Lonchura striata: one gene and its partners. The protein of the gene in region 4 interacts with the protein of the main gene of each other region in a biochemical or structural test. Links are inferred from orthologs where the notes say so. Each region holds a gene or a part of one and is shown on either strand. Other genes may lie near its edges.

Region 1 (7,139 bases), on a different chromosome or scaffold from region 4:
CTCCATGAATTCAGTGATGATGAAGATGGGCTCCTCCCTGGTGACCACGGCGTGCAGCTTCACCAGCTTGTCGTGCTGCAGTGTCTTCATCAGGTTTGCCTCCTCCAGGAAGGCTTCCACGGACATGCTGCCCGGCTTCATCGTCTTCACCGCCACCTTGGTGTGCTTGTTGTAGGTAGCTGGGGGTGCCACAACAGATCATTCCCACCCTGCCCTGCGAGCACTGAGCTTTGGAGCCAAAGTCCCAGCCCTGCAGACACAGCTGCTGTGGGAAGGTTGGAGGCCACACACAGCCCAAGGCTGTCCCCACCTGCCCAGCCCCAACCAGCCCCTGCATTAAGGCAGGGTCACTTCCATGTCCCTCTGCTTCTCTCCCTCCTTGTCTTTCCCACCCCACCATCCCTCTGCCTTCTCACACATCCCTCACCCTTCCTCCTCCACCGTCACCTTCATCATCCTCCCTGCCACCTCCCCCTCTCTCTCACCCATCCACACTTCTCCGAACTGCCCGGCTCCCAGCTTCCTCTCCAGACTCAGTGACTCCCGAGGGATCTCCCAGGCATCTTTCTCCCAGGGCTTCTCTGGTTTGGGTACACGGCAGGGGTGGGTGAGCTTCTGGCACAGCCCATCACTCTGACCTGAGGAGAGCATCCAGGGCCATCAGCCAGCCTGTCTCACTGGCCACACTGTGCTTCACGGGGGACTTCTGGCCACCATGGGCGTTCAAGGACACCAGCACCACAGCTGTGACAGCCAGCAGGCCAGCCATGGCAATAGGGGGAGGTCTGGAAGTCACTGCATGTTGCAGTCAGAGCCGCAGCAGGAGCCCAGGGGTGATGGGCAGGAGCCCCTCAGCCTCTGCACACCCCCAGCTGCCTGACTGCTTGGCTCAGGGACAAAGCTCCATTTGGGAAGGGCGGCCAAGCACCCCAGGGCTCACCTTTGTAGTGCTGGACCAGCTCCTGCAGCGTGTTGAAGTTGTTCCGTGGGGAGATGTAGAAGCCACCGCTGTCCAGAGTGCGGATCTTGTAGTGCTTCACTGCCCCGCCCCGCAGCTCGTCCCCGTCCCGCACCGAGAGCGAGTAAGAGCCTGGGCAGGGAGGGCTGAGCTGGCATCTCCCACGGGAGCACATTCCTGCTGCACCTGGCCATCCTGGCACGCACAGAGCCATCGCCCAGCAGAGCCAGCAGCACCCATCCCACGCTGCTGCCACCACCCCTTCAGCCACCAAACACCCAAAGCAGCCTCAAAGGGACACATCCCCCTGTCCCTGCCGTGGGATTCAGACATGTGGCAGTGCCACAGGCTATGGCAGGGGCACTTCCAGCCAGGGCATGGGCCTCCCAGTCCCTCCCTGCAGCACAGAAGATCCCCAGGGCTGGGGAAGGAGCTCCTCTTCCAGGCCAAGGTGGATGAGGGAAGCCCTTTGGGCAGCTGTTCCCCACCACTGTGCTATGGACACCTCTCCACACCTTTCGTTGTCTCGCTGTCCCTTATCATGAAGGACCCAATCATGTTCCCAGGGCCAAGGAGCTGCCGCTCCGCGTCCTTCCGGCTGATGTCCTTGAAAAACCACCTGCAGCAGAACCAAATGATCCAAGGAATGCTGGAGTGGGTCAGGGCTGGGGGCAGGACATGAGGCAGGAGCGGGAACAGCGGCAGTGGGGAAGTGTGGGACAGCATGGAGCCAGGATCTGGCATGCAGGGATGGACTCACTCCTCTGTCTCCAGCGAGTTTTCTTGGGCAACGTAGTTGCTTGGGATGAAGCCTTCACATCCTGTCACCAGCGACCGTGCTTGCCACCATTCCCCTGACCTATGACAGAAGTGGCATTGGGCTGGCTCCTGGCACCTGGACCTGGGCACCAGCAGGGTGCTCCTCCAGGGCAAATTCCAGAAAAAAATCCCAACAGGGCCACACAAGCCATCAGGAGACTGTGGACAGGAGGCTGCCAGCAGCACTTACTTCTCCAGGATCTTCATCCTCTCCCCCTTCTGGAAGCTGAGGTCCCCAGCGTTCATCGCCTCGTAGTCGTAGAGTGCCAGCACCACGCTGTCCCCCAGGCCTGCAGCAAGGGAGGTCCCTGGGCACCCCTCCCCATGCTGGGATGGGGTGCCTGGCCACTCCTGCCATGAACACTGGCCAGGACATTGCCAGGACCCCTACAGCACCCAGCACCTCCATCTTCATCATGTCACATCTGGCCCTTCAGGGAAACCCTGAGCTCCCATCCCTCCAAGATGTTCACCCTAGCTCAGAGAGGATTGGGCCACACTGCCCCCACACACTCCAACCCCCTGCACCCACTTGCAGCCCCTTTGTACCTACCAGCCTCAGGCAGGGACACAGCCATGCTGGGGACATGATTGTTCTGGAAAGTGCAACAAGACCACAGAGTGACATCACAGGTGGCAGAGACCCGTTTCCCATGGTGGGTCTTGGCCCCAACAGCAATGGCAGGAGCAGGAGGGCACCCGAGGGGCAGCACCAGCACCACCTGACACGACAACCCAGCCAGCACCAGCATCTCCACCCCCTCCCAACACCTTCATTTTTCTCTCTCTTTCTCCATAATTCCTGCATTCCCATCAGGTCCACTCTGTGCTTTGTCTCAGTGTGGCCTGGGCTCCCACCCAATAGCCAAGTCCCTGTCCCGGGGCATGGGCACTGCCAATGCCCTCAGCCGGCTCCACTCTCAGCGTTGGCGGCACTGCTGAGAAGAGGGGCTGAACCCCCTGTGACAGCTCAGCCCTGAAATCTCTCATCACTCACCCGCTTGTTGGTGGCTGTGGGGTCCCTCACATAGTGGCCCTGCTGGATGGTGGGGCCAGGATCAGGACCAGGATCAGTTTTTATCATCTTCTCTTGGACACCGGCTTTCTTTGACTTCACACAACCCATGCTGCTGCCAAGGAAGGGGAAGTGAGGCCATTGCAACAGAGGTGAAAGCCCCACTCCAACCCCAGTCCAGCCCTGTTCCCATCAGCTCCCACCCAGCACAGGGCCCCAGAGCCCAACCCAGTGCTCTGCTGGGACAGAGAAACTTTGCTCCTCCCAAGCTTCAGGGTACTGGGGTGCCCAGGGACACTCCAGAGGAAAAAGGATCTCCTGGAGATGTCATAGCAGGTAAAGTTTGGGGAGACACCAGCAGCAGCCACGGAGCAGCTTCCCTGCCCTTGTGGGATGCAGGACAAGGTGCAGGCACTGGGCACCATGGCAGCAGAGAGTCACACTCAGAATCTTCTGCAAAGAGGGGCCCTGATCCTGGTGAGCTTTGCTGCAGCTTGGGGGTCCCCACAGAGCACCCCTGGTGCCCATGGCCCCCACCACCACCACAGGCCACCACTCCACACTGTGCTCCCCTGATCTCTGCTGGGTGGGAGCTGCCCCAAACATCCAGTCCGGGGCAATGACAAATGCTCAACTTTCTCCAGCACCCCAAGAAATTCAGTGGAAAAAAAAGCTGCAAGAAGCAGCAAGAGTGGTAAACCCCTTGCAAATGTACTTCCCTTGGCCAGGGGGACCTGGGTGCAGAGAAAGCAGAAGGTGCTGGTGGTCACAGTGAAGGAGGAAGCTCAGGGCTGAACCCTCGATGTGCATAGCACAGCTCTTGAGGAACATCACTGTCACATAACACACCATGGTCACTCCTGGTCTTTCCAAAGCCTGGGCCAGCCTTGCTCCCAAGGGCAGAGCAGGAGCAGCCACGACAGCTCATCTCCCTCACTGGGCACAGCCTGGGGACTGTGCCAGATCCATCCTGGCAAACGCACTGGGGCCCAGCTTAAACTCAGACATGGCTCACACCATCACCACTGCAGGTATTTGCTGTTCCCGTCCCACACCGCCTCAGCGCATCCAGCCCTACAGAGCACAATCACCCGGGGCAGTCCAAGGGTCATTCCCACTGGCTCCTGTGGCATAGCTGGCATTCCTGATGTGTCCCACCCTGGAGAACCAGGTCCCAAGGCTCATGCGCTGTCCCCAGCCATGAGGACCAGGTTGGATGAGGATGCCCTTCGTTCCCAGAGCAAGGATGCCCGCAGCCCCCTGCCCTTGCTGCCCTTGCCCGTGCCTTCGGTCCCCGACAGCCCCTGCAAAGCCACCGGCAGGGACCCCTCGTCGGAGCTACACTGTGTCCAACCGGGGCTGCACCGGGACCCGTGAGATTCCCGGCCATCGCCTCATCCCGGGCACCCGGGGTCCGCCGCTCTGACCGCGACCGGCCCGGGGGGGGTCGGACCTTCCGGGCTGCCCGGGACTGGCGGCGGGGCTCCCTCGCCGCCCTCGGAGCTCCGCGCACGGCTCCGACCCTTCTCACCTTCGCTGCGCCCCGAGGCACGTCCCCGTGGCCGGTCCCGCTGCCAGTCCCGTCGCGGAGCCCCGGCTGCCGCTGCCGCTCCGCTCTGCCCGGTGCTCTCCCGCCGCCCGCCCGGTGCGGCCCCGCCCCTCCCGGTGCGGCCCCGCCCCTCCCGGTGCGGCCCCGCCCCTCCCGGTGCGGCCCCGCCCCTCCCGGTGCGGCCCCGCCCCTCCCGGTGCGGCCCCGCCCCTCCCGGTGCGGCCCCGCCCCTCCCGGTGCGGCCCCGCCCCCGACTCCGACTGGGAGGGTGCGGCCGGTGCCTCCTCTGCGGCGCTGGGAACGGGGATCAGCATCCCACAAATCGCACCAGCAAGGACATCCCAGCTTTGGGTGACCCCATTGCCTTTAGGGACCCCCGAGGGGTGCCAGAGCCCGTCTGTCCATCCGCCGTCCCCGGGACACCGGACGAGTTTGGGTCCCGCTCCCCAGAGCAGCCCCTAGGATGTTTCCCCGCCTGGTGCAGGGTCACGGAGAGCGGGGGGCACGGGGGGAGCACAGGACCCGGAGTCAGCCCGGTTTTCTGTCCCAAGAAGGAGAAAAGAAAGCCCTGAGCATCCGTGGTGGGGTGCAGGACATGAGGGCATCCAGGACACACTGGGGTGCATGGGACTGGCTTTGTGAAGCACAGCTCAGAGAGGTCCGGGTGTCCCTGCGCTTTGTGGTGTCCCTGCTGGCCCTGGTATTCCCGTGCCAAAGCTCCTACCCAGCCCGGCATGTTCCAGCTTTTCTCCTGGATTGCCCGGACAACCCCTGAATTCGGGATGGAGGCAGCATCAGCAAGGGGACCCACGGCTCTGTGTGACCCTGACCATGGGCTGCTCGCGTTCAGAGGAAGCAGCCGGGGTGGGAGAGCGTCCCACCCCAGGAGGGTTTGCATATGTAAATTTTTTTTGGTAGAAAAAATAAATTGCTCCGATAACCCCAGCGTCTGCTGCCCACAGAGCGCCCTGGAGCTGCAGCGCCGAACCCCGGTCCCCACCAAGGGACATTGGGCCAGGGAATGTTGGCTCGGGGCCATCAGCCACGGGCCAGCAGCCGTGGGATATTGGGGTACAGTGGCCAGGGGGAATCGGCTCGGGGACGGTGGCCAGGGAACATCAGCTGAGGTCCACCGGGGGCCGGGGAGCACGGCCCCGTCCCTCGGCGGCGGAGGGGCTGCAGGGCGGGACTGCAGGAAGCTGGTCCGGGGCAGGAACTTCCTTTTGTGAAACACCCGCAGCCCGCTGCCGGACGAGTCTCGCACAGGCCTCGCAGGCAGCAGAGGGCCAGCTGCAGCCACCAGCCCTTTCCTCTCGCAGCACATTCCCGCTGACCCCCTCCATTGCTCTGAGCATCCCCTGGAGCCAGCCAGGAACAGCACCCTGACATGGTGGTGACCTCCAGGTGACACTGGAGTGGGCAGGTGCTCAGCCCAGCCCAGCCCAGCCCAGCCCAGCAGTCCCCTGCCCCAGCTCACCCCCATACTGCAGCAACCGCTGCAGAAGAAACTGCTCTGCTCCACTCCCAGTCCCAGCATTTAATTGAAATTTGCAGAAATTACAGCACATGTGTCTCTCCCACAGCCATGGCTACCCTGTGATTCCAACAGCCTTGACAATAGCTGGCAGGGCAGTGCAGAGGCCTGTCCCCTCCCATGGTGACAAATTCACCCCCCCTGGTTCTGGGGCAGAGCTGGGCACCTGCTGAGTCTGGTCCTGGAGGTGCAGCACCACACCAACGAGCTGGGTTTTGGCACTGGCTCACAGGTAGTTGTCCTCTTCCTCCTCCTCCTCTTCCTCATCGCGTGCCAGCGCCTCGATGTCGTGGGTGATGTCCGTGATCATGCGGTTGAAGGACTCGGACTCGGAGCGCAGGGACCAGCTGTCGTAGCTGCGCACGGCCGAGGCCGACGTGTTGCTCATGCTGCGCTTGATGCGGCCGAAGCTGTCGGTGAGGATCCCACCCTCCCGGATCCCGATGCTCTCCAGGAAGGTCTCAAAGTACCCGATGTCTTGGTCAGGGATGAAGGGCCTCATTCCTGTCATAGGCACCGTAAGCCTCGGGAGGCTGCCCAGCTGGGCAGTACTGGGGTGCAAGGCCAGCCCTACTGGTTTGTCCCATCCTGCCCCAGCAAGCAACAGGGTCCTGACATCCCCTGAAGCACACCCAGCACCAGCCTCATGGCCCCAAGGGATGCACAGACATCACCAGGGTGACACAGAGTGGCTGCAGACACTCACCCAGGAGGAGGAACTTCCTGCGGTCCCCGTAGAGGCGCAGGAGCTCCGTGCAGTATTCCTGCACCGGCGTGCCCAGACGGTACTCGCGGAGCAGGATGGCAAACTGCTGGATCTCCTGTGGTGACAACTTGTTGCGCAGCTGTGGTGACACAGGGACAGGTTTGGGCTTTGGGACACCAGCTGCACACAGCCCCCAGCCCCCTGCCCTGTGTTCTGCTGCTGCTTTCTGGCACAGGGAGCCCACACCTGCCTCCTGCCCCTGCCCCAGCTGCTGGCACTGCTTTCCTGCTGCTTGTCCCTGTGCCCATCCCTGTGCCCTCACCGTCACCATGTAGTCCTGCAGCTGCTCCAGTCCTGTGCCACTCTGGTCACTGCCACTGCAGGCAGTGGCCAGGCTGTGGTGGGAGCGGTGGAAGGAGGGCGAGGAGGTGCCACTATAATACGCTTCAAAGGTCTCGTGGGAGCCATTGCTGTGGGAGGACACGGATGAGTGGGTCCCTGCACCCCTCATGTGCTCTGCTGCCCCCCACCCACTGCACAGCACCCACCATCAGGTAG
Region 2 (7,913 bases), on a different chromosome or scaffold from region 4:
ACTCTCAGCTTGCCACCTTGAACATTCATGTGAAGATATCAGAATTTAACTCTATGATCAGGCAGGAAAAGTCTACTTTAATGCAATCCCTTCTTATTTAGTATTCCTCTACCTTTCTTCACCTTCAGTGCTTTTTCTTACTATGCTGCCTGAACAAGCTCCAAGAGCGACTGTAAAAATATGTATCTGCTCTGGGCAAGATTTGTTTTAATCAGACAGCATTTTTGACAGTCTATTTCATTTTGTGTGGTTGATCACTTTCAGATTTCAACTGATTTCCATTTCAAATTAATAAGCACTGCTCAAAAAATACTGTATGAAAATGCCAGTTTTGCTGCAATACTAGAACAGCTCTTGCCACATTAATGCAATGTTAGGACAGAAAATAATTTTGTCAACTAAGATTTTAAGTCAAATACATAACAATCAGCATTCATTTATTCATTAAATCCAAAGGCATTTTCTTAAGCTATTTGCACCTCTGTCACTGAGCTCTGCAAATGGGGCAGAAAGCAGGGAAAAAATTACCTAAAACAGTTGCCCACTTTATTCCCTAGTATCCTGTGCGTCCCACCTACCATTAATCTGCAATATAAACACACCACTGCTGTGCTACATAAAAATGAAAACTCCCCGCCACACTTGAATAGACAAGCCTCATGTTAGTTTCACTCTAGGTCAGAGATTTAAAAAATCAACCCTACTGGGGGATTCTGAGTTTGCTAATAAAGAGAAGGTCTTATATGTTAATATCCTCCCATGGTTTGAATATTAAAGAATACACACTAAAAGAACACATATTCCCCAAACCTCCCTGAGCAAACTATATTACAACATCCTTATGCGAACTGCAGAACCTGCAGGTGCTTCATTTCCCATCTCTTCATACTAGTCACTGTGAAAGCCAGATGGCCAACTTTACACTATTTAAAAGTATACTCATGTTTAAAAAAGCACTTCTTAACATCTTTACAGCCTAAAAATTAGAAGACGAGGAATTCATACTGTATTTGGTTTGTGTTCGAGCTTTTTTGTTTGCTTTGGGCTTTTTTTTTTAATTTGCAAAACAAGCTCAGAGAAGCTTGTTATAGAAGCTATTACAATTTTATGTCCTACTTAAAAGGACAATGGCTCCTGAAATCCTAAGAGTATGTAACGTAATGCTGAAGTTAACTCTGTCAGTCAAGTTATGACAGAATATAAGGAATGAACCCAAAATTTCACAGATTTTTAGGTTAACTTTCTGACCTATCTATATATATCTCTTTAAATACAAATGTATGTTACTCCCTAAATTATCCACTATACTTGTAAGAACTACAAGAACAACATATTTATAGAAATTATACTAATGAAAAAATGTAAGCCTCTGAACCATTTCATTTTGGGGAGAATATGATAAGGAAATGGAAGAAAAGATTTATTCTCTATTCTAATACACACCTTGGAAATGCTTTGAGTAAACCTGTAAATCTTCTACAGTGAAATCCAAAGGCTGTGTTTAGAGTACTTACTAATTTCATGGATTCTCTATAACATTACCCGATCTTATATTTCACACAACTTCAACAAAGAACTAGTCTGCCTCTAGTGGAAGATTCTATTACTACCACTAAAGGAATCTAAATTAACCTGATGTACGGATAAATACAATAAAACCTAACTATAAGTTTACAGTTTATTCCAAATGTCTCCTCTCTCCAAGCACAACCTATATAAAAACAACTCTAAATTGGTTGAGCAGCAAGGTAGTTAAAACATTTATAAAAATACCAATCGGTTAACACTTTTAAAATTAAGAAATTATTTTAATTCCTTTTAAATCCATGATGCGAGAATTGAACTGCCTGAATTTTTAAAAAGATCGAACATGTGGACATTACTTTGGTTGATTATATATAAATTCGAAAAGGTAAGTTATCTTTTTTTTTTCAGCAGAAAGCAATACAATACAAAATGATGACATGGTAAATAAAGTCTTTTATGCCATGGATTTTTTTTTTCTATTTACTATTTATTTGTTTTTCTTTAGAAATTAAGGTTATGACTCTACTGTGAAGGGGATACCAGTGACTGGAAAAGTCTCCCCAACAGGTAGTTTAAACCACAAGCAGAATACCTCACTCTTCCTGGCAGCCTCTGCAGTACTGCTATGAAAACTTGCAAAAAACTAACTCAGTCGCCCTTTTCCCGTAAGCTGATCCCACTCAGTACAGGAGGACCAGCTCCCCGTGAAGGGGAAGGAGTCCAACCTCCCTGCTGCTGCCGCTCACTCTCCCGACTTTCGGGTGGGCTGCGCTCCGCAGACTACGGGCAGTGTCCCCGCGAAGCAAACTTCCTGCTGGAACGGAACCAGAGGAGGGAGGGAAGGTGACGAGGTGGGACGCAAAGCTCCTGCGAGACTTCCAGCCGAGTTTGACATACACTTTTCTCGGCTAGCGGTGGGGGGTCGACAGCACGGTACCCACTCCCCACAATGACTGAGGCGGGGGCGGTGGGTACTCACTGATTGGTGGGGGGCGCGTTGAGCGGAATGGCCACCTCTTCTTCCTCGTACTCCGGTCCGTCCAGTGAGTCTCCCTCGTCCACTGTCCCCAGCCCCCCAGCCAGCGGGGGCGGTGGTGGCGGCGGCGGCAGCGGGGGGAAGCCTAGATCGGCAGCCCCAGCGGTCGCTGGAGGGGCTGGCCCCGCGCCCAGCTCCAGCAGCCCCAGAACCGAGCACAAATCCGGCCCGCCTGGGGGGCCGCCGCCGACAAGGAAGAGGCTTTGCGGCTCCGGCGCCCGGCCACGGCACAAGGCGGGGCAGTGCCCCAGCTCTCCTGCTGCGGCGGCTCCCGCCGTCCCGGCGACAGCGCCCGAGACTCCCTCCTCACCCGTGGCCTCGGCCGCCATCATGTTGAGCCTCGCCAACGGCCTCACGCCGGGGAGGAGGCGACAAAGGGGCTCTGGGCCCCTGCCCCCAGCGCGCCTCCCCCCGACGCGGCAGGCAGCGGACTCGGGAGGCGGCTGAGTCTTCCCGGCGGAGACGGGCCGGGAACAATGCCCGGCTGGGCGGGGGCTGGACCGCTCCACAGGGCCCCGCGCGGCTGCCTCGGTCCGCGACCGCCCCAGGGAAGCGCCGCCCTCCTGGGGAGCTCCGCGCTTGCGCGGCACCTCTGCGCCTGCGCGGGCGGTACAGCGCCGGCCGGGCGCAGATAGCTGCGGATAGCTACGGTTATGCGGTCTAGGGAAATAAAGGGCTCGTTCCGCGGTCGAGTGGGTGGGAACGTGCGGGGGTAGGGTCGGATTCACTAGCTCAGCCCAACATAAGTACTGTAACTCTGGACCCGTATGATCCAGTGCCAGATCCGGAAGCCTTTTGAACACCTCCAGGGATGATGACTTCATTATCTCCCTAGGCAACGTGTTCCAATGCCTGACCACCCTAACAGTGAAGAAAAGCTATTGGGCGTCTTCCAGCTCAGCTTATTCTGTATGATTCTGTATAATCTGAATCTCTTCCGTCTCAGTTTGAAGCCATTTCCCCTGATCCTGCCACTGCAGATACAGTAGAAGAAACCAGTCCCTACCTCTCTATGCCCTTCCTTCAAGTATTGATAGAACAAGTGGAAACGGTTTTGTCAAGGGGACATTAGACTGGATGTTAGGAAAAAATATTTTATTGAAAGGGTGGACAAGCACTGGAACAGGCTCCTGGGGCAGCACCTGTCAGTGTTAGGTTCATGGTTAGATTTGATATGGGTAGTATTTACCAACCTTAATGACTTTGATTCAATTCTAACTATGGATTTTAAAAATACATCCTGGTGGTACCGTTTACCTTGTAAGAACTGTGACTAAGAGTCTGCTTTACTCTGTACTTCTCTGAAACTGTATTTTTGTCATGTTACTCAAGCTTGCAAACTCTCAATCCCACCTTAAGCAAATCTATACCTAAACTTCACTATCAACCATTTTTCTCCCTAAAGTGGGTTTCTTTCATACATCAGCTTCACTTCATACCTCTGGGATCAAGAAGACATCATGTGATGGCCCTTACCCGGCAGTACAGTATGTAGCTATCTTCAGATTTTTTTGTTTTTTTCCTCCCAGTGCTAAAAGAGCTGACAAATAGCAGCACGTTTACACTTGCATGCTTCTCTGCAGTTCTCAAAAAGCATCTAAACATTCAGGTTTTCAAAGCTTTGTGTTACCCAAAAGTATTAAGTTAATTTTTCCTGAGGCAATTAGAACAATCTACTGCTCCCACTTTCACAGCTCTCAAGCTCTTTTTATCTGCTGAAATTGTTTCATATCTTTCCTTCTGAGGGCAAACTCTGCTTCCAATTTACACTACTAAGACTGAAACAGAGATTTTTAGAGTTCTCTTGAGTTAACAAAATTAATTGAGCATTTAAATTTTAGCTTGTGGAATTATGTGTTGAATATTAACCTTTTACTTAAAAAACCTCTGCCATGGTACAAAGGCCATAAGAAAATGCAAATTTCTGAAGCTTCTTACATAAAGAACAATACCAAAGAATGCAAAGAACCCAGATAAAGAAGCTGCTCTTTCTCCAAGCTTATCAAGACTGATAGACGTACTCAGATAAGCACCAAAAGACTGACAGAGCACGTGCAAAGGAGAAAAATTCAATCATGAGGAAGACCACAATCTTCAGCCTCAGGACCACCGAGAGACCCCTGTGTGACCACCACAGCAAACCACACATGCCTAGAAGGGTGTAGATTTATTTAGCATGAAAGGAGAGGACAAGCGGGGCCAGGGGTTAAATATGCATTAAAAAGTTGCATATAGAACACCTTTGTAAATAAAAGTTTGAGTCAGATTAAGGCTCGATGCACAAGTCTTGGAGAACAATCTCACTTGTGCCTGGTGCTGACAATACGTACCCACTTCATAACTTCCCCAAGTTGTGTAGTCTATTTATTTATTCCACATATCATTTCAAGACATGTGGAATTATGCTGGGTTTGTGCCTAGGGTCACAGTGAAAAGAGAAGCTGGCTCTAGCCCTCAGTCTACACCATTGTAATATACCCATATATTGCTGTTTTTCTGCAGTATTACCATTCTGAAATTGTTAATTTCAAGGAATATTGTAGGCTGCTCTCCCTGTTGCTTTCCCTTTTACTGCTTCTTGCTTCCCTCACAGATTTCAAAACAAAATAATTTTATCCTTGTTACTCTAGTAGTAGCAATAAGCCTAAATATAGAAATGCAGTGTAAATATTTAAAATATTCCCTTTATGAGGCAGGTTTTCTAAGTGCCTTTCAGGGCAGCAGTATGTGTGTGGAGGCGTGGGAATTAGAAGGACAGCTGTACTAAGAATTTTATTCAGGAGAGGGTAATGTGTCTACAATGCTCTTTCAAGAGATTTGTTTTGGTGAGAACAGTTTTAAATTTGAAAAGGACTCTGCAGAGAAAGAGCTCCTAGTAATATCAGCTGAGCACCCAACACACCTTTTCTGTTCACTTTGCAGGCAAAGTTGCCATCCTGAGTTATTTGGTGCTAGAGGTTCTACACGTCAACCTGTGTCACTTCTTAAACCTTTGAAGCTGACTGCCTCTTTAGAATCATGAAATATCTCGGATTGGAAGTGATCTATAAGGATCATTGAGTCCAACTCCCTGCCCCACTCAGTACTACTCAAAAGTACAGCTACAAGCCTTTATTGGACTTTTTTATAAATCGATGTATTTGGATGAAGGGGCAAGTTGTTATAAATGCATTTTCCAATTTATTAATTAAAGAAAATTCATTAAATGGTCCAAATTTAAATTTAGAGAAGAACAATGAAAAGCCCCTCTCAAAAAAAAGGGTCAGTGCTGAGCCCAGGTATCAGTACTGGGTGAGACACAGGTTTGACTGCTAACAGCAGAGGGTCCCCTATGCTTCACACTGACTGTCCTGTCTGAGCAATTTTTATACGGTTTTTCTTGCCCGAGGCAGAGTCCCTTTTCTTCCTTTTCAGACTGCACATATTCATGTGGAGTCTATGTGGCAAGTTGAACAAAACATGTCCAGAGAGTGATGAACACCCATGACCATGTTCCCAGAATTCAGTATTGAGATGTATCACCCTGATGGCTCTGGCTATCTCAATCTCAGATATTTATCGCATATTCATCATCCAGGTAGACCACCTTGATGGATGATTCATCTCTGGGCTGGCCACATTCATTTGATTGTAAATGAAGTCCTCCCTCCTTTTTCCAGGTGGTTTTGACAATGTGTTACAATCCCTGTCACTGACTTGTGCATTTTAAAAATTTCTTATAAGAGTATATATTAACAGTACATAATTATAAAATATATGACAATTTTATTTGCACAAATTATCATATACACATATAATAAAGTATAACAATATTTTTCTTGATACTTCTTGAGCTTCTGCAAATATGTCTTATTCTGAAATCTCTGGTATACATGACACTAGGATAGTCAGTCCTTCATCCCTGCTATGTCAGAATGGTATCAGGCTAGATTCCCTGAAAAGTACATTTCCATGTTGCCTAGTTTGAGCTAATATAATAGTACATATTTCAAGAACAGTGGCAGGGCAGGCAGGTATATGCCTGATTAGGAGCTCAGGTATTCAGGCTGGGTTTGTCACTGATTTATATGGCATTTGGCAAGTAATTTGAGCAAAGTTATTCTTTCTCCATCAGTAAAGTAACAAGCTATTTCACAGATATGTCAGAGAATCAATTGGGATTTTTTACAAAATTTGACAGCTGTTAGACACCCTAATTATTAGGGTGAAAAGCCACATAAAGTGTGACACAATATTTCAGTTATTAAAAGGGAAAGTGTTACTTTTATAGTAAATACAAATACCACAAAACATTCCCTTCCAGTCCTTATTTCCTGCCTCCCTCTTCTGCCTGAGCACACTTTATTTCCACCTTTCTAAAGTTTTATCCCATTTCAGAAATCAATATCATCAGAAGAATTTTCAGTCTTTCTGTCATAGGACACAGTGTTAAGAAAGCAGCTTTCCTGTAATGAAGAACCTGGAATGATCCAACTACTCCAGTTCTTCCCCTTCTACTCCCACAAGTGTAAAAAAAACAGTTACAGAGTGTTGCTTCTTTCTGCCTGCATAGCTGTAATGCTACATGTATTTCTTTTCTGCTTTTCATACACTTTCCATGTTAGCAAGGAAGTTGTGGGTGCATGGGGCTGGGAGGAGACACAACCAGGACAGGTGACCCCAACTGACTAAAGGGGTATTCCGGACCATGTGACATCATAATCAATATATAAAATAGAGATAAGAAAGAGGAGAAGTGAGAACATTTGGAGTGATGACATTTTTTTCCCAAGTCACCATTACATGTGATGGGGCCCTCTCTGCTGGAAGTGGCTGAACAACTGTGCTCCCTTGGAAAGCAGTGGATTGATTTCTTGTTTTGCTTGTGGGCATGGGTTTTGCTTTCCCTCTTAAACTGTATCTCAGCCCATGAGTTTTCTGGCTTTTACAATTTAATTTCTCTCCATAGTCCTACTGGTGGGGCAGTAAGCAAGCAGGTCTCTATAGCTTGGTTTCTGCCTGGGCTTTTAAACCATGACACCCTGTCAATCCAACACCTCTTTAACTGTAGTAGTATATAAAAAAGTGCTACATGATTGCTCTGTCAGTCTTTCTTAGTGTCTGTGATCCATTCTGTAAAATCCATATTATTATTGTCTGTGTTTAAATGCAAGAGAAACCTTACTATTTATATTTATGTATATTTATTATTTATGGCTTCATAAAAAGCATGTTTGCATTCTCCCATGAGCCTGTATATACTGACTCCAAATATAGATACACTGAACAATGATGTAATGTTTTAAGCAACACTAAAATTATCCTCAACTTTGGAAGCTGATTTGTTAGTTACTGAGTTTTTTCTGTAAAA
Region 3 (7,166 bases), on a different chromosome or scaffold from region 4:
CATTTGGGTTTTCTTTTCCCCAGAATTTCACTTTATCCCCCAGAATTTTGGTTTTTCCCCGGATTTTGGGGCAGAATTTGGGTTTTTCCCAGATTTTGGGCTGTTTTGGGGCAGAATTTGGATTTTTCCTGGATTTTGGGGTTTTTTGGGGCAGAATTTGGGTTTTCCCGGATTTTGGGGTTTTCTGGGGCAGAATTTGGGTTTTTCCCGGATTTTGGGGTGTTTTGGGGCAGAATTTGGCTTTTCCCCGGATTTCGGGTTTTTTTTGGGGCAGAATTTGGATTTTTCCCGGGTTTTGGGGCAGAATTTGGGTTTTTCCCGTATTTTGGGGTTTTCTGGGGCAGAATTTGGGTTTTTCCCAGATTTTGGGGCAGAATTTGGGTTTTTCCCGGATTTTGGGGTTTTTGGGGGCAGAATTTGGGTTTTTCCTGGATTTTGAGGCAGAATTTGGGTTTTTCCCGGGTTTTGGGGCAGAATTTGGGTTTTTCCCGGATTTTGGGGGTTTTTGGGGCAGAATTTGGGTTTTTCCCGGATTTTGGGGGTTTTTGGGGCAGAATTTGGGTTTTTTCTGGGTTTTGGGGCAGAATTTGGGTTTTTCCCGGATTTTGGGGTTTTTTGGGGGCAGAATTTGGGTTTTCCCCGGATTTCGGGTTTTTTTTGGGGCAGAATTTGGATTTTTCCCGGATTTTGGGGCAGAATTTGGGTTTTTCCTGGATTTCAGGTTTTTTTTGGGGCAGAATTTGGGTTTTTCCCGGATTTTGGGTGTTTTTTGGGGCAGAATTTGGGTTTTTCCCAGATTTTGGGGCAGAATTCGGGTTTTTCCCGGGTTTTGGGGCAGAATTTGGGTTCTTCCCGGATTTTGGGGGTGTTTTGGGGCAGAATTTGGATTTTTCCCGGATTTTGGGGTTTTTGGGGGCAGAATTTGGGTTTTTCCTGGATTTTGGGGGTTTTTGGGCTGGATTGGGGATTTTTCCCCCCAGAATTTCAGGATTTTTCCCGGATTTTGGGACTGGATGTTTATTTTTCCCAGATTTTGGGGTTTTTTTTGGGGCAGAATTTGGGTTTTTCCCGGATTTCGGGGTTTTTTTGGGGCAGAATTTGGGTTTTTCCCAGATTTTGGGGCAGAATTTGGGTTTTTCCCGGATTTTGGGGGTGTTTTGGGGCAGAATTTGGGTTTTTCCCGGGTTTTGGGGCAGAATTTGGATTTTTCCTGGATTTTGGGTGTTTTTTAGGGCAGAATTTGGGTTTTTCCCAGATTTTGGGGCAGAATTTGGGTTTTTCCCGGGTTTTGGGGCAGAATTTGGGTTCTTCCCGGATTTTGGGGTTTTTTTGGGGCAGAATTTGGGTTTTTCCCGGATTTTGGGGTTTTTTGGGGCAGAATTTGGGTTTTTCCCGGATTTTGGGGGTTTTTGGGGAATATTTACTTCCTCCCGAGGCGGCCGCAGGCTCATCCCGTTAGCCAGGGTGGCTACAAAATTCTGGGGAAAGAGGAACGAGAGACGTCACCGGGCACCCCAAAACCGGCCGGGCACCCCAAAATTGGGGTGGGCACCCCAAAATCGGCGTGGGGGGAGCCTAAAAATGGGGTGAATGACCCCAAAAATGGGTTGGGGGTCCCTAAAAAAGGGGTGGGAGGTCCCTAAATTGGGGTTGGAGAGCCTAAAATGGGGCTGGGGGACCCTAAAATGGGGTGGGGGGTCACAAGCCCAATTTTTGGGGGTCACGATCCCATTTTTGGGGGGCAGAGGGGATATAGGGGCTCAAGACCCCAAATTTTGGTGGTTTAGGGGGGTCAGGACCAAAATTTGGGGCGACTTTGAGGAAGGGGAGGACTGAAACCCCAAATTTTGGGGGTCAGAGGAGATTTGGGGGGGTTACAACCCAGATTTTGGGGGTCCCTGGAAACCTGGGGGGGTCCCAGACCCAAAATTTTGGGGTCCCTGGGAATTTTGGGGTCCCAGACCCAAAATTTTGGGGTCCCTGGGAATTTGCTCCTGTGTCCCCCCCCAGTCACGACAAAACACCCCCAACCTCATTAAACCCCCTCAAGTTAATTAAGCCCCCCAAAACCTCATTAAAATCCCCCAAACGTCACTAAAAACCCCAAAATCTCACTCAAAACCTCATTAAAATCCCCCAAAATTTCATAAAAACCCCAAAAATTTCATAAAAACCCCCAAATCCTCAGTAAAAACCCCAAAACCTTACTAAAAACCCCAAATCCTCACTAAAACCCCAAAATCTCATTAAAACCCCCAAAATCTCACTAAAACCCCCCAGAATTTCATTAAAAAAAACAAAATCTCACTAAAACCCCCAAAATCTCACTAAAATCCCCCAGAATTTCATAAAAAAACTCAAAATCTCACTAAAATCCCCGAAATCTCACTGAAACCCCCAAAATCTCACTAAAACCCCCAAAATTTCATAAAAACCCAAAATCTTACTAAAACCCCCAGAATCTCACTAAAACCCCCAAAATCTATCTAAAACCCCCAAAATCTCACTAATATCCCCAAAATCTCACTAAAACCCCCAAATTCTCACTAAAATCCCCCAGAATTTCATTTAAAACCCCGAGATTTCATTTAAACCCCCAAAATTTCATTAAAATCCTCCAAAATTCCATAAAAAACCCCAGGCCTCACTGAAATCCCTCAGAGCCCCTCAGAGACTCACAAATCCCCTCAAAACCCCTCAGAGCCCCAAAAATCCCCTCAGAGCCCCAAAAATCCCCTCAGAACCTCAAAAATCCCCTCAGAGCCCCTCAGAGCTCCCCCCATCCCCTCAGAGCAATTCAAACCCCCCCCAATCCCCTCAGAGCCCCTCAGAGCCGCCCCAATCCCCTCAGAGCCGCCCCCCGCCATCGCCGAGCCCCCCCAGCGCCCTCCCCGCCCGCCCGGGCCCGCTCTGCCCTCAGGCCCGGCGTTTCCCGCGCCGCCGCCGCCGCTCTCACCTCCATGGTGCAATTGGCCGCCTCCGCCATCTTGTGAGCGCCAGCGGCGGCCCTCAGCGCCGCGGCCTTTTATAGCGGGGGCGGGGCCGCCGCCGGCCCCCTCGCGCGCCTCCCCATTGGCCGCCGCTTCCCGCTCGCCGCGTGATGATTGGGCGGCGCCCACGCCCATCAGGCTTAGCCCACGCCCCGCAGCGCTGATTGGGCGGGGGGGTTGTCAGTCATGGGTGAAAGCGAGGCCACGCCCGCGGGTCGGCGCGGCGGGGCGGTTCTGCGCGCTGATTGGGCGGGGGAGGTGTCAATCAGCAAGCCACGCCTCCCGCGCAGCGCCGCCTAGCGGCCGCAGCGATCAATGCAAATTCCTCCTGAAAACACCAAAAAATCCCAAAAACCCAAAAAAATCCCCAAAAAACTCCAAAAAACCCCCCCCAAAATTATTAAAAAACCCATAAAACCTCAAAAAACCGATAGAGAACCACACGGAATCACTAGAAACTCGCTCTTTATTAAACTTCCCATACAAAAAGCCGGGGCTGGGGGGGTGAGTGGGCCCCGAAAATCCCAAATTTTGGGGTTTTGGGGCGGATTTGGGGGATTTTGGGGTCACCAGTCGGGCTCCCCGAAGCGCCGGAGCAGCTCCTGCTGCGCCTCCAGGTCCTTCTGCACCTTGCGGCGCATGTAGAAAATGGGGCAGTCCCGGCTGCGGGGATTTTGGGGGGATTTTAGGGGATTTTGGGGTTTTGGGGGGATTTTGGGGGGATTTTAGGGGATTTTGGGAGTTTTTTGGGGATTTTGGGGGTTTTTGGGGATTTTGGGGGGTTTCAGGATTGGGGGGATTCGGGGGATATTGTGACATTTGGGGATTTGGGAGCATTTGGGGATTTTGGGAGATTCAGGGGATATTGGGCGGATTTGGAGGATTTTGGGGGATTTGGGGATTTTTGGGGTTTTTTGGATATTTCAGGATTGGGGGAGTTTGGGGGATTTTGGGGGGTTTTGAGACATTTGGGGATTTGAGGGGATTTGGGGACATTTGGGGACACTTGGGGATTTGGGGAGATTTGGGGAGATTTGGGGATTTTGGGGGATTGGGCGGTTTTGGGACATTTGGGGATTTTGGGGATTTTTGGGACATTTGGGGATTTTGGGGATTTTTGGGACATTTGGGGATTTTGGGGTTTTTTGGGACATTTGGGAATTTTGGGGTTTTTTGGGACATTTCAGGACTGGGGGACATTTTGGTACCTTTGGGGATTTGGGTTTTTTGGGGGGAGTTTGGGGGATTTTGGGGGATTTGGGGATTTGGGGACATTTGGGGTTTTTGAGGGGATTTGGGGGATTTTGGGGGATTTGGGGACATTTGGGTTTTTTTGGGGGATTTGGGGGATTTTGGGGGGATTTGGGGACATTTGGGTTTTTTGGGGGGATTTGGGGGGATTTGGGGACTTTGGGACATTTCAGGACTGGGCGGGTTTGGGGGATTTTAGGAGGATTTGGGGATTTTGGGACATTTGGGGGTGACTGAGGGGACCTGAGTGAGGTGACACAGGTGACACAGGTGAGACACACAGAGGGTTCAGGTGACACAGGTGACACAGGTGTGACACACAGAGGGTTCAGGTGACACAGGTGACACACAGGTGTGACACAGGGATGGTGACACAGGTGACAGGTGTGACACACAGGTGACACAGGTGTGGCATGGGGATAATGACAGGTGACACACAGGTGTGACACAGGTGACACAGACAGGGCTCAGGTGACACAGGTGACACAGGTGACACACAGGTGACACAGGAGGTGACACACAGGTGACAGGAGGTGACACACAGGTGACACACAGGTGACACAGGTGACACAGGTGACCCAGGTGAGGTGACACAGGTGGTGACACAGGTGACAGGTGTGACACACAGGTGACACACAGGTGACACACAGGTGCCACACAGGTGACACAGGAGGTGACCCAGGTGGCACAGGTGTGACACAGGTGACACAGGTGACACACAGGTGACAGGTGTGACACACAGGTGCCCCAGGTGCCCCTCAGGTGTGCCCAGGTGTACCTGGAGCAGAGCACGTCCTGCAGCAGGGAGCCCTGGCACCGCTGGCACTGGCTCCAGAGCCGGGCGAAGCTGCGCTCCAGCTGCCACACCTGGCTCACCTGAGCAACACCCCAAAATATCCCCAAAATATCCAAAATATCCCCAAAACATCCCAAAATATTCCAAACACATCCAGCTGCCACACCTGGCTCACCTGAGCAACATCCCATAATAACCCCCAAAATATCCCAAAATATCCCCAAAATATCCCAAACACATCCAGCTGCCACACCTGGCTCACCTGAGAAACATCCCAAAATATCCAAAATATCCAAAATATCCCAAAATATCCCAAAATATCCAAAATATCCCAAAATATCCCAAAATATCCAAAATATCCAAAATATCCCCAAAATATCCTCAAAACATCCCAAAATATCCCCAAAATATCCAAAATCCCTCCAGCTGCCACACCTGGCTCACCTGAGAAACATCCCATAATAACCCCAAAATATCCCAAAATATCCCCAAAATATCCCCAAAACCCCTCCAGCTGCCACACCTGGCTCACCTGAGAAACATCCCATAATAACCCCAAAATATCCCCAACCCATCCACCCAAAATTTGGGTCCCCCAAAACCAAAACCCCAAATTCGGGAGCCCAAAATCCCAAATTCAAAACCGCAAAACCCCCAAAATCTCAAATTTAAAACCCCAAAACCCCCCAAACCCCAAATTCGGGACCAAAACCACAAAATCCCAACTTTAAACCCCCAAAATCCCAAATTTAAACCCCCAAAATCCCAAATTTAAACCCCCAAATCCCAAATTTAACCCCCAAAATCCCAATTTTAACCCCAAAATCCCAAATTTTAACCCCAAAATCCCAATTTTAACCCCAAAACCCCAAATTTAACCCCAAATTTCGGACCCAGCCCCCCCCACCTCTTTCTGGTAGAGCTCGGACTCCCTCTGGCGGCAGAAATCGCAAACTGCACCTGCGGATTTTGGGTCCATTTTGGGTGAATTTGGGGCTCCGGGACCCCAAATTTTTGGGCAGGATGGGTTAAATTATGGAGGTATTAATTAGTTATTAACGATTTAAATTATAATTTTTTGTTAATTTGGGGAAGGGACTTGACTTTGGGGATTTTGGGGCTCCAGCCCCCCCAGTTTTGGGGATGTTTGTGCTGAATTTTGGGAATTTTGGGGGTCCTGGACCCCCATTTTGGGGAAAAGGGATTAATTTCGGGGATGGGAAATTTCGGGTCGGGGTCGTTAATTAGGGTTGGGGTCGTTAATTAGGGGCGGGGTTGTTAATTAGGCTTGGTTAACTTGGCGAGGGGGCTTTAATTATGAGGATCCCCTTTTTTGAGGTGGAATTTCGGGGATTTTGGCCATTCTGGACCCGTTTATTTTGGTAAAACCAGGTTAATTCCAGCCGGAGGGGATTAATTAGAGTTAATTAGCGCAGGGCCCGTTAATTAGGGCAGGCATTCTGGTGATTAATTTGGGGAGGGGGCTTCAATTCCCAGAATCCCATTTTTCGAGGTCGAATTTTGGGGATTTTGGCCATTCTGGACCCGTTTTTTTTTGGTAAAACCAGGTTTATTCCAGCTGGAGGGGATTAATTAGAGTTAATTAGGGCAGGGCCCGTTAATTAGAGCAGGGCCCATTAATTAGGGCAGGCATTCTGGTAATTAATTTGAGGAGGGGGCTCCATTCCGAGTATCCCCTTTTTTCAGGTTCAGTTTTGGGGATTTTGACCGTTTCTGACCCGTTTTTTTTTGCAAAACCGGGTGAATTCCACCCCGAGGTGACTAATTAGGGGTTAATTAGTGCGGGGGCTAATTAACTGGTTAATGAGGGGGTCTCACCGTGGTGGGGCAGCAGGGCCCGGCAGCCGATGCAGCTGCTGCGCTTGGAGGTGAAGGCCGAGAGCGCCCCGGAGCGGGCGGTCAGGAGGGTCTTGCAGCGGGTGTGCTCCCCCTCTGCGGGGAAATTCGGGCTCAGGGACCCCCAAAATCCCCCAAAATCCCCCAAAATCCCCCCAAAAATCCCCCAAAATCCCCCCAAAAATCCCGGAGTCACAGGGAGCCCCAAAACCTCCCAAAATCCCCCCAAAAATCCATCCCAGAACACCCAAAATCCCCCCGGACCCGAGGGT
Region 4 (7,511 bases):
GGATTTTCTTGTTCCTATGCAAAAGGAAGGTCATACAGACACCAAATCCCAGGAGGGAAACAAGGATTATATTTGAAAATGCAAGAAATCCCAGTTTTCAGTTTTTCTTCCTTTCCATACCAGAGTCAATGGAATCGATAAGAATCTCATCACTGCCAGCAAAAAAAAAAAGAGACAATTTCCTCTAGAAATACAGAACCACCAAATATTTTAGACAACTTTAAGATGTTTCTAAAGAAATGAATGCAGAATTCCAGCAGGGCTCCCTCCCCGAGGCAGGCAGCCTGAGCAACTTCCACTTCTGGGAAGGAAAAAAAGGCTGGAATTAGAATCCTGCTGACCCTCAGGATGGGTTCTGTGTCTGGAAATCATTTTGCTGGAGTTGTGCATCACGGCTTTGGCCCAGAGTGAAATTCCAAATAAACCAGAGCACCCTGGGGGTCATCCAGGCAAAAAAAAAATCACCTAAACCCACCATTTTACCTCCAATTCTTTCTTGTTTTACTGCTCTGCTCACCCTGAACTGGGACTGGGAATGCTACCCCCAAAAAAAATTCAAAATACCCACAGCTGGAGCTGCTGCAATTTTACATCCCCCAAAGCTGCAGTCATTAAAATAATAAATTAATGAATAAAAAGCCCTCCCTACACTCTCGTCACACCCCTCAGGTGAAGGAGGCTCTGCAGGATGTGGGAATTTGCAAATTCCCTGGGTTTCCTTTGGCTGGGAGGCGCCACAGCCGAGCTGGGTGAAGGATTTTATTAATCAAACCCATGAAACCGATGGAAAATCGGATTACAAACCCATTTATTTAGCTCCAGATGCTGGTGGGTGATGCTGTAATGGGTTGTTTGCACAAAGGGAGAGAAGCAATTCCCAAGAATTATTCCCTGCATAAAATGAGCTCCTAAAACCTCCAGAGCTGCAGCAAAACTCTGCATTTTTAAGCACAGAGAAAAAGAAATATTTAAGAAAAAAAGCAGGTGAAGAAATAAATAATTTAAAAAATTCCAATTAAGAAATTTAAATTGTTAATTCAAATAACTTAAATAAATAATAATTAAATAAATTACCATTGGCTAAATGACCATTAAAATTATTATAAAATGTAATAAAATAAAATTTAATAATTTCATTAATTAGAATAATTCTAAAAGTCTAATAAATAATCTTTAAATCCCAATAAAAATTATAATAGATACGATAATGAATATAGTGATAAATTTAATTATATATATTATAATAAATAGAATGATATAATAATAAATATAATAAATAGAGCTATAAATATTATAAATATTATAATATGGTAATAAATAATTATAAATAAAAGTATAAATATTATAAATATAATAATATAATGATAAATGTAATAAATATAATGATAAGCATATTAACATAACAACAGTAAATATAATGATAAAAATATAATAATTTAACAATCTTAAAAGCAGGTGGAAAAAAAATAATTAAAAATAAAGAACAAAATAGAATAATAAATATATAATAAAAAATAACTAAAAAAGCACCAATGGAGATGTCATCCGAGCAATCCTCCCGATTTGCCCACAGAAATCCCCCTGATTTCTGGGACACAGCTCCTTTTCTTCCAGCTATTTTTAGGGATTTTTATGGGACTCGCATTACCGACAGCCTGAGACTTGTCAGCAAAGGAGAGGAGCTGTCCCCAAAGCAGGTCACCAGAGGGACATTCCAGGCCCGGGACTGTCCCCTGGGATTGTCACTCCCACCCTGAAACCTGGAAGGAGCTCGGGGATGAGGTGATGAACTGGGCATCGCTTGAACATCGCAATTATCATCAGCAGATTTCCTATTACCACCAGGTTTTCCTTCAATTCTTAAACTTAAATATTATTTAAAAAAATAAATACCGCCACGTTTTATTTCGACTATTAAACTTATATTTAAAAAGTATTTCAAAAATTATTTCATTTAAAATGATTTAAAAAAATTATTTCCTTTCAGTTAGCTCAAGGGTTTTGATTCTCTTGATTCTCCTTTTATTTCAGTTATCTCAAGGATTTTGATTCTCTTGATTCTCCTTTTATTTCAGTTATCTCAAGGATTTTGATTCTCCTTTTATTTCAGTTATCTCAAGGATTTTGATTCTCTTGATTCTCCTTTAATTTCAGTTACCTCAATGATTTTGATTCTCCTTTCATTTCATTTATCTCAAGGCTTTTGATTCTCTTGATTCCCTTTAATTTCAGTTACCTCAATGATTTTGATTCTCTTGATTCTCTCTTTATTTCATTTATCTCAAGGCTTTTGATTCTCTTGATTCTCCTTTAATTTCAGTTATCTCAAGGGTTTTGATTCTCGATTCTCCTTTAATTTCAGTTATCTCAAGGGTTTTGATTCTCTTGATTCTCCTTTTATTTCAGTTATCTCAAGGCTTTTGATTCTCTTGATTCTCCTGTCATTTCGGTCATCTCAAGGCTTTTGATTCTCCTGTCTGGCCGAGGCCACACCACGAAAGCTCACACAATGCAACCTAACACAACCACCAATAAAACACCCACAAAACTCTCGCTTTACACGTGGAAATAACCTTGCGATTCCACATAGAAATATCTCATTCCCAGCCCTCAGAACGGCCACCGGGACCCGCTCTCCCCGCCGCGTTCCCGGTACCTGCGGTGAGGAGCTGCATGGCGTGCGTGAAGGACGGGTCCAGGCTGTCCTTCTCGGCCATCAGCTCGGGCAGGTACTTGTTCTCAGGCTCCATCTTGCCTCCAACCATACCGGATCCCCCCGGCCCCGATGTCCCACCGACCACGCTCACACCGGGCGGCGGCGGCTGCGCTGCGGCCCCGCGGGCCCCTCCGCCACCACGGGGCGGCCGGCGCGGCGCTGCGCGGCCACCGGGGCCTTGTCCCCGAGATAAACGACCGCTGGGGTCGTCACGGCGCTGCATGAGGCGGTGCCGCGGAAGGGAACGCGGGGCCGGGCCGGCGAGAGCGGCGGGAGCGGAGCGGCCACACCGCCCGCGCAGCGGCCGGGCCGGAACTGCCGCGGCGGAAGCGCCCGGCGCGAGCGTGAGGGGAGCCGCGGGAGCGCGCCGCGCATGCGCCGGCGCCGGGCGGGAGTGGCGCGGAGGGAGCGAGCGGGGTTTGTGGGGGTTGTGTGTGTGTGTGTGTGTATGTGTCTGTGTCTGCGTCTCTGTGTGTTTGTGTGTGTCTGTATGTTTATGTGTATAAGCGTGTCTGTGTTTGTGTGTGTGGGGGGGGTCTCTGTGAGTGTGAGGGGAGCCGCCGCGGGAGCGCGCCGCGCATGCGCCTGCGCCGGGCGGGAATGGCGCGGAGGGAGCGACTGCGGGCTGTGTGTGGGTGTTTTGTGTGTGTGTGTGTGTGTCTGTCTGTCTGTGTCTATGTGTGTGTGTGTGTGTGTGTGTGTGTGTGTGTGTGAGGGGGGTGCGTGTGAGGGGAGGGATGCGTGTGTGAGGGGAACGGCCGCGGGAGCGCGCCGCGCATGCGCCTGCACCGGGCGGGAATGGCGCGGAGGGAGCGAGCGGGGTTTGTGTGGTAGGTGTGTGTGTGTGTGTGTGTGTGTGTGTCTGTGTCTGTGTGTGTCTGTGTGTGTGTATGTTTGTGTGTGAGTGTGTCTCTGTGTGTATCTCCGTGTGTGAGGGGGAATCGCCGCGGGAGCGCTCCGCGCATGCGCCGGGCGCCACCCGCGCCCCCCTCAGGAATGGCGCGGGGCCGGTGGCGGGGTTGGAATCGGGGTGATGGAGACTGGGAATGGTGGATGTGGAGAGTAACTCATCCAGCCCTTCGTGGAGACAGGGAATGATGGAGACTGGGAATGGTGGATGTGGGGAGAGAGTAACTCATCCCATCCGTTGTGGAGGCAGGGAGTGGTGGATGTGAGGAGGGAGTAACTCATCCAGTCCGTCATGGAAGCAGGGAATGGAGGCAGGGAATGATGGAGGCATGGACTTGTGGATGTGGAGAAAGCAACTCATCCAGTCTGTCATGGAAGTGGGGAATGATGGAGACAGGGAATGGTGGATGTGAAGAGAGTAACTCATCCAGTCCTTTGTGGAACCGGCGGCATGGAGGCAGGGAATTGTGGATATGGGGAGAGAGTAACTCATCCAGTCCGTCTTGGAAGTGGGGAACGATGGAGGCAAGGAATGGTGGATGTGGGGAGAGTAACTCATCCAGTCTGTCCTGGAACCAGTGGCGTGGAGGCAGGGAATCATGGATGTGAGGAGAGAGTAATTCATCGATTCCATTGTGGAAGTGGGGAACGATGGAGGCAGGGAATGGTGGATGTGGAGAAAGTAACTCATCCAGTCCTTCGTGGAATTAGAGGTGATGGAGGCAGGGAATCATGGATGTGAGGAGAGAGTAACTCATCCAGTCCCTCATGGAAGTGGGGCATGATGGAGACAGGGAATGTTGGATGTGGGGACAGAGTAACTCATCCATTTTACCTGTGATCCTGCTTCTAATGTGCCCACTGCCTTTGTGCTTCCTATACGTAATGCCACTGTTTATGTGACCCACCCCATCATCGCACTAGAATTAAATCATAAGAAAACCCCTCAGAGCATAGAGTGTGGGCACGAAAGCTGAATGAAAAGTGGCAAACAGCAAACTTAGAATCCTGTGTTGCTAAGGAGCAACTAGGATTCCTTTGTGAAGGCAATAACATTAATGCTCAAGATGCGTGTCTCGGCACTGAACAAAGTATTTGCCACTTTGAAATCCATCCAGTCACTCCCGTCGTGGGAGCAGGGGGTGATGGAGGCAGGGAATGGTGGATGTGAGGAGAGTAACTCCAAGTTTTGTATTAATTCCCTTAAGTAGTGTGCTAAATACAGTTTTAGGTTCCCAACATAATGTTAAAATAGAGACTATGTATGTGGGGGAAGGTTTTTTTTTTTTTTTAGGAATGAGATACTCGCTTTGAGGAACACCTAAATCTTCCAAAGAAAAGGAATTTATGAGTTTTGTATCAGAAGAAGCGAATTTCTTCAGGCCTTGCTCAGACTCCAAGACACCGTGGGGATTAATGGAATTAGTTGACATACAACAGTTTCTTGTTTTAAATAGAATGTATACATAACCATGAGGGATATATGAATATGCAACAGGCTGTTGCTTTTAAGGTTATTCCTTTGTTCACAAGGGATGCTTTTTGTGACTTAAGTGTCCAAGAACATCCAGACATCCGTAATTCTTTGCTTTTTATTGTCTTGCAATTGTCCTAACTCTAAACTTTATTGCTCTAATTGTATTACTATTTTTATAACCATTTCATTATTATTAAACTTAAAATTTGAAAAACCAAGTGATTGGCGTTTTTCACAATTATCAGAGTTTATGTGACTCCGGTTATGACTTTGCAGAGCCATTAAAGCCAGCGAAGAGGCACTGAGCAGCTTCTCTGGGTATTTTGAGGGACAAAGGTTTGCTGGTTCCTTTTTTCTCACCCTCACTTTTGCCCCTTCGTGGATTATTCAGCCGGGAATGCCGTGCTCCAGCCGGGAGCGCCGTTCTCCAGCTGGGATCGCCGTGCCCCAGCTGGTGTTTCCCCGTGTGTTCTTGACCACGGAACCGGTTCCTCGATCCTGATCCTCGATTCCCAATCCTGATCCTGATCCCCAGTCTGCGATCCTGGTTCCCGGTCCCCGATCCTGATCCCAGTCCCCGATTCCCGATCCCGGCCTCCGGTCCCGATCCTGGTCCCCGATCCCAACCCTAGTCCACGTTTCTGATCCTGGTCCCCGGTCCCCGTGCCAATCCCGGTCCCCCATCCCAGTCCTGATCCTGATACTTGGTCCCTGGTCCTGATCCTGGTGCCCGGTCCCCGTCCCAATCCCGGTCACTGATTCCCGATCCCGGTCCCTGATTCCCGATCCTGGTCCCCGATCCCAGTCCCGATCCTGATCCTCGGTCCCTGATCCCGATCCCCGGTTTCCGATCCTGGTCCTCAGTCCCCGTCCCAGTCCCGGTCCCCAATCCTGATCCTGGTTCCCGGTCCCGATCCCAATCCCCATCCTGGTCCTTGGTCCCCGGTCCCGATCCCGGTCCGCATCCCCGATCCCGATTGCCGATCCCGGTCCTTGGTCCCCGATCCCGGATCCCAATCCCGCTCCCGGATCCCGATCTGTCCCTGATTCCCGATCCCAGTCCCCGTTCCCGGTCCTTGGTCCCCGGTCCCGATTCCCGGTCTCCGATTCCCGCTCCCGAGCCCCGTTCCCGGTCCTTGGTCCCCGGTCCCGGATCCCGGTCTCCGATTCCCGCTTCCGGTCCCCGATCCCGAGCCCCGTTCCCGGTCCTTGGTCCCCGGTCCCCGATCCCGAGCCCCGTTCCCGGTCCTTGGTCCCCGGTCCCGGTCCCGGTCACCGATCCCGGTCCCGATTCCCGCTCCCGGTCCCCGATTCCCGCTCCCGGTCCCCGATCCCGAGCCCCGTTCCCGGTCCTTGGTCCCCGGTCCCCGATTCCCGCTCCCAGTCCCCGATCCCGAGCCCCGTTCCCGGTCCCCGGTCCCCGATCCCGAGCCCCGTTCCCGCTCCCGGTCCCCGATCCCGAGCCCCGTTCCCGGTCCTTGGTCCCCGGTCCCCGATTCCCGCTCCCGGTCCCCGATCCCGATTCCCGCTCCCGGTCCCCGATCCCGAGCCCCGTTCCCGGTCCTTGGTCCCCGATCCCGGTCCCGATTCCCGCTCCCGGTCCCCGGTCCCGGTACCCGATTCCCGCTCCCGGCCCTTGGTCCCCGGTCGTGCTCCCGATTCCCGCTCCCAGTCCCTGTTCCCGGTCCCGATTCCCGGTCTCCGATTCCCGCTCCCGAGCCCCGTTCCCGGTCCTTGGTCCCCGGTCCCGGATCCCGGTCTCCGATTCCCGCTTCCGGTCCCCGATCCCGAGCCCCGTTCCCGGTCCTTGGTCCCCGGTCCCCGATCCCGAGCCCCGTTCCCGGTCCTTGGTCCCCGGTCCCGGTCCCGGTCACCGATCCCGGTCCCGATTCCCGCTCCCGGTCCCCGATTCCCGCTCCCGGTCCCCGATCCCGAGCCCCGTTCCCGGTCCTTGGTCCCCGGTCCCCGATTCCCGCTCCCAGTCCCCGATCCCGAGCCCCGTTCCCGGTCCCCGGTCCCCGATCCCGAGCCCCGTTCCCGCTCCCGGTCCCCGATCCCGAGCCCCGTTCCCGGTCCTTGGTCCCCGGTCCCCGATTCCCGCTCCCGGTCCCCGATCCCGATTCCCGCTCCCGGTCCCCGATCCCGAGCCCCGTTCCCGGTCCTTGGTCCCCGATCCCGGTCCCGATTCCCGCTCCCGGTCCCCGATCCCGGTCCCGATTCCCGCTCCCGCTCCCGCCGCGGGCTCGGGGCAGCGGAAGCCGCGGGAACCCCCGGGCGGGCCGAACCACTGAGCGCGGTGGGGAGGAGCGGGCTGTACCACTGCGCTAGCGGGGGGGGAGAGATGCTGGCGTGGAAGGCTCCGTGTGCACGTGCGGCCAGAGGGCCGGTCCAAGTGCGGGGGGGGCCGGG

The links.
Region 1: the proteins of KHDRBS1 (region 4) and HCK interact in a biophysical measurement, tested with the Homo sapiens proteins (2 studies listed by BioGRID and IntAct, with this or other methods). The link is inferred for Lonchura striata from reciprocal best matches to the Homo sapiens genes KHDRBS1 and HCK.
Region 2: the proteins of KHDRBS1 (region 4) and RASA1 form a complex in vitro, tested with the Homo sapiens proteins (2 studies listed by BioGRID). The link is inferred for Lonchura striata from reciprocal best matches to the Homo sapiens genes KHDRBS1 and RASA1.
Region 3: of the proteins of KHDRBS1 (region 4) and PRMT1, one has a biochemical effect on the other in vitro, tested with the Homo sapiens proteins (2 studies listed by BioGRID). The link is inferred for Lonchura striata from reciprocal best matches to the Homo sapiens genes KHDRBS1 and PRMT1.

What each region holds. Positions count from the first base shown.
Region 1 is NC_134619.1:7,650,029-7,657,167, reverse strand, and holds the start of HCK (tyrosine-protein kinase HCK), read right to left. Parts: upstream 3,016-7,139; 5' UTR 2,904-3,015; coding exon 2,775-2,903; intron 2,374-2,774; coding exon 2,331-2,373; intron 2,068-2,330; coding exon 1,968-2,067; intron 1,818-1,967; coding exon 1,719-1,817; intron 1,578-1,718; coding exon 1,474-1,577; intron 1,091-1,473; coding exon 941-1,090; intron 639-940; coding exon 486-638; intron 180-485; coding exon 1-179. Other genes in the region: CCM2L (cerebral cavernous malformations 2 protein-like), read right to left, coding at 6,102-6,379, 6,582-6,720, 6,904-7,051. UniProt on the Homo sapiens protein: Non-receptor tyrosine-protein kinase found in hematopoietic cells that transmits signals from cell surface receptors and plays an important role in the regulation of innate immune responses, including neutrophil, monocyte, macrophage and mast cell functions, phagocytosis, cell survival and proliferation, cell adhesion and migration.
Region 2 is NC_134642.1:53,185,090-53,193,002, reverse strand, and holds the start of RASA1 (ras GTPase-activating protein 1), read right to left. Parts: upstream 3,012-7,913; 5' UTR 2,896-3,011; coding exon 2,507-2,895; intron 1-2,506. UniProt on the Homo sapiens protein: Inhibitory regulator of the Ras-cyclic AMP pathway. Stimulates the GTPase of normal but not oncogenic Ras p21; this stimulation may be further increased in the presence of NCK1.
Region 3 is NC_134640.1:2,740,183-2,747,348, forward strand, and holds the start of PRMT1 (protein arginine N-methyltransferase 1), read right to left. Parts: upstream 3,008-7,166; 5' UTR 2,987-3,007; coding exon 2,957-2,986; intron 1,479-2,956; coding exon 1,425-1,478; intron 1-1,424. Other genes in the region: DNA polymerase delta catalytic subunit, read right to left, coding at 3,557-3,653, 5,020-5,117, 5,945-5,997, 6,877-6,990. UniProt on the Homo sapiens protein: Arginine methyltransferase that methylates (mono and asymmetric dimethylation) the guanidino nitrogens of arginyl residues present in proteins such as ESR1, histone H2, H3 and H4, FMR1, ILF3, HNRNPA1, HNRNPD, NFATC2IP, SUPT5H, TAF15, EWS, HABP4, SERBP1, RBM15, FOXO1, CHTOP, MAP3K5/ASK1, MICU1 and NPRL2.
Region 4 is NC_134628.1:1,138,627-1,146,137, forward strand, and holds the start of KHDRBS1 (KH domain-containing, RNA-binding, signal transduction-associated protein 1), read right to left. Parts: upstream 3,020-7,511; 5' UTR 2,940-3,019; coding exon 2,657-2,939; intron 1-2,656. UniProt on the Homo sapiens protein: Recruited and tyrosine phosphorylated by several receptor systems, for example the T-cell, leptin and insulin receptors. Once phosphorylated, functions as an adapter protein in signal transduction cascades by binding to SH2 and SH3 domain-containing proteins.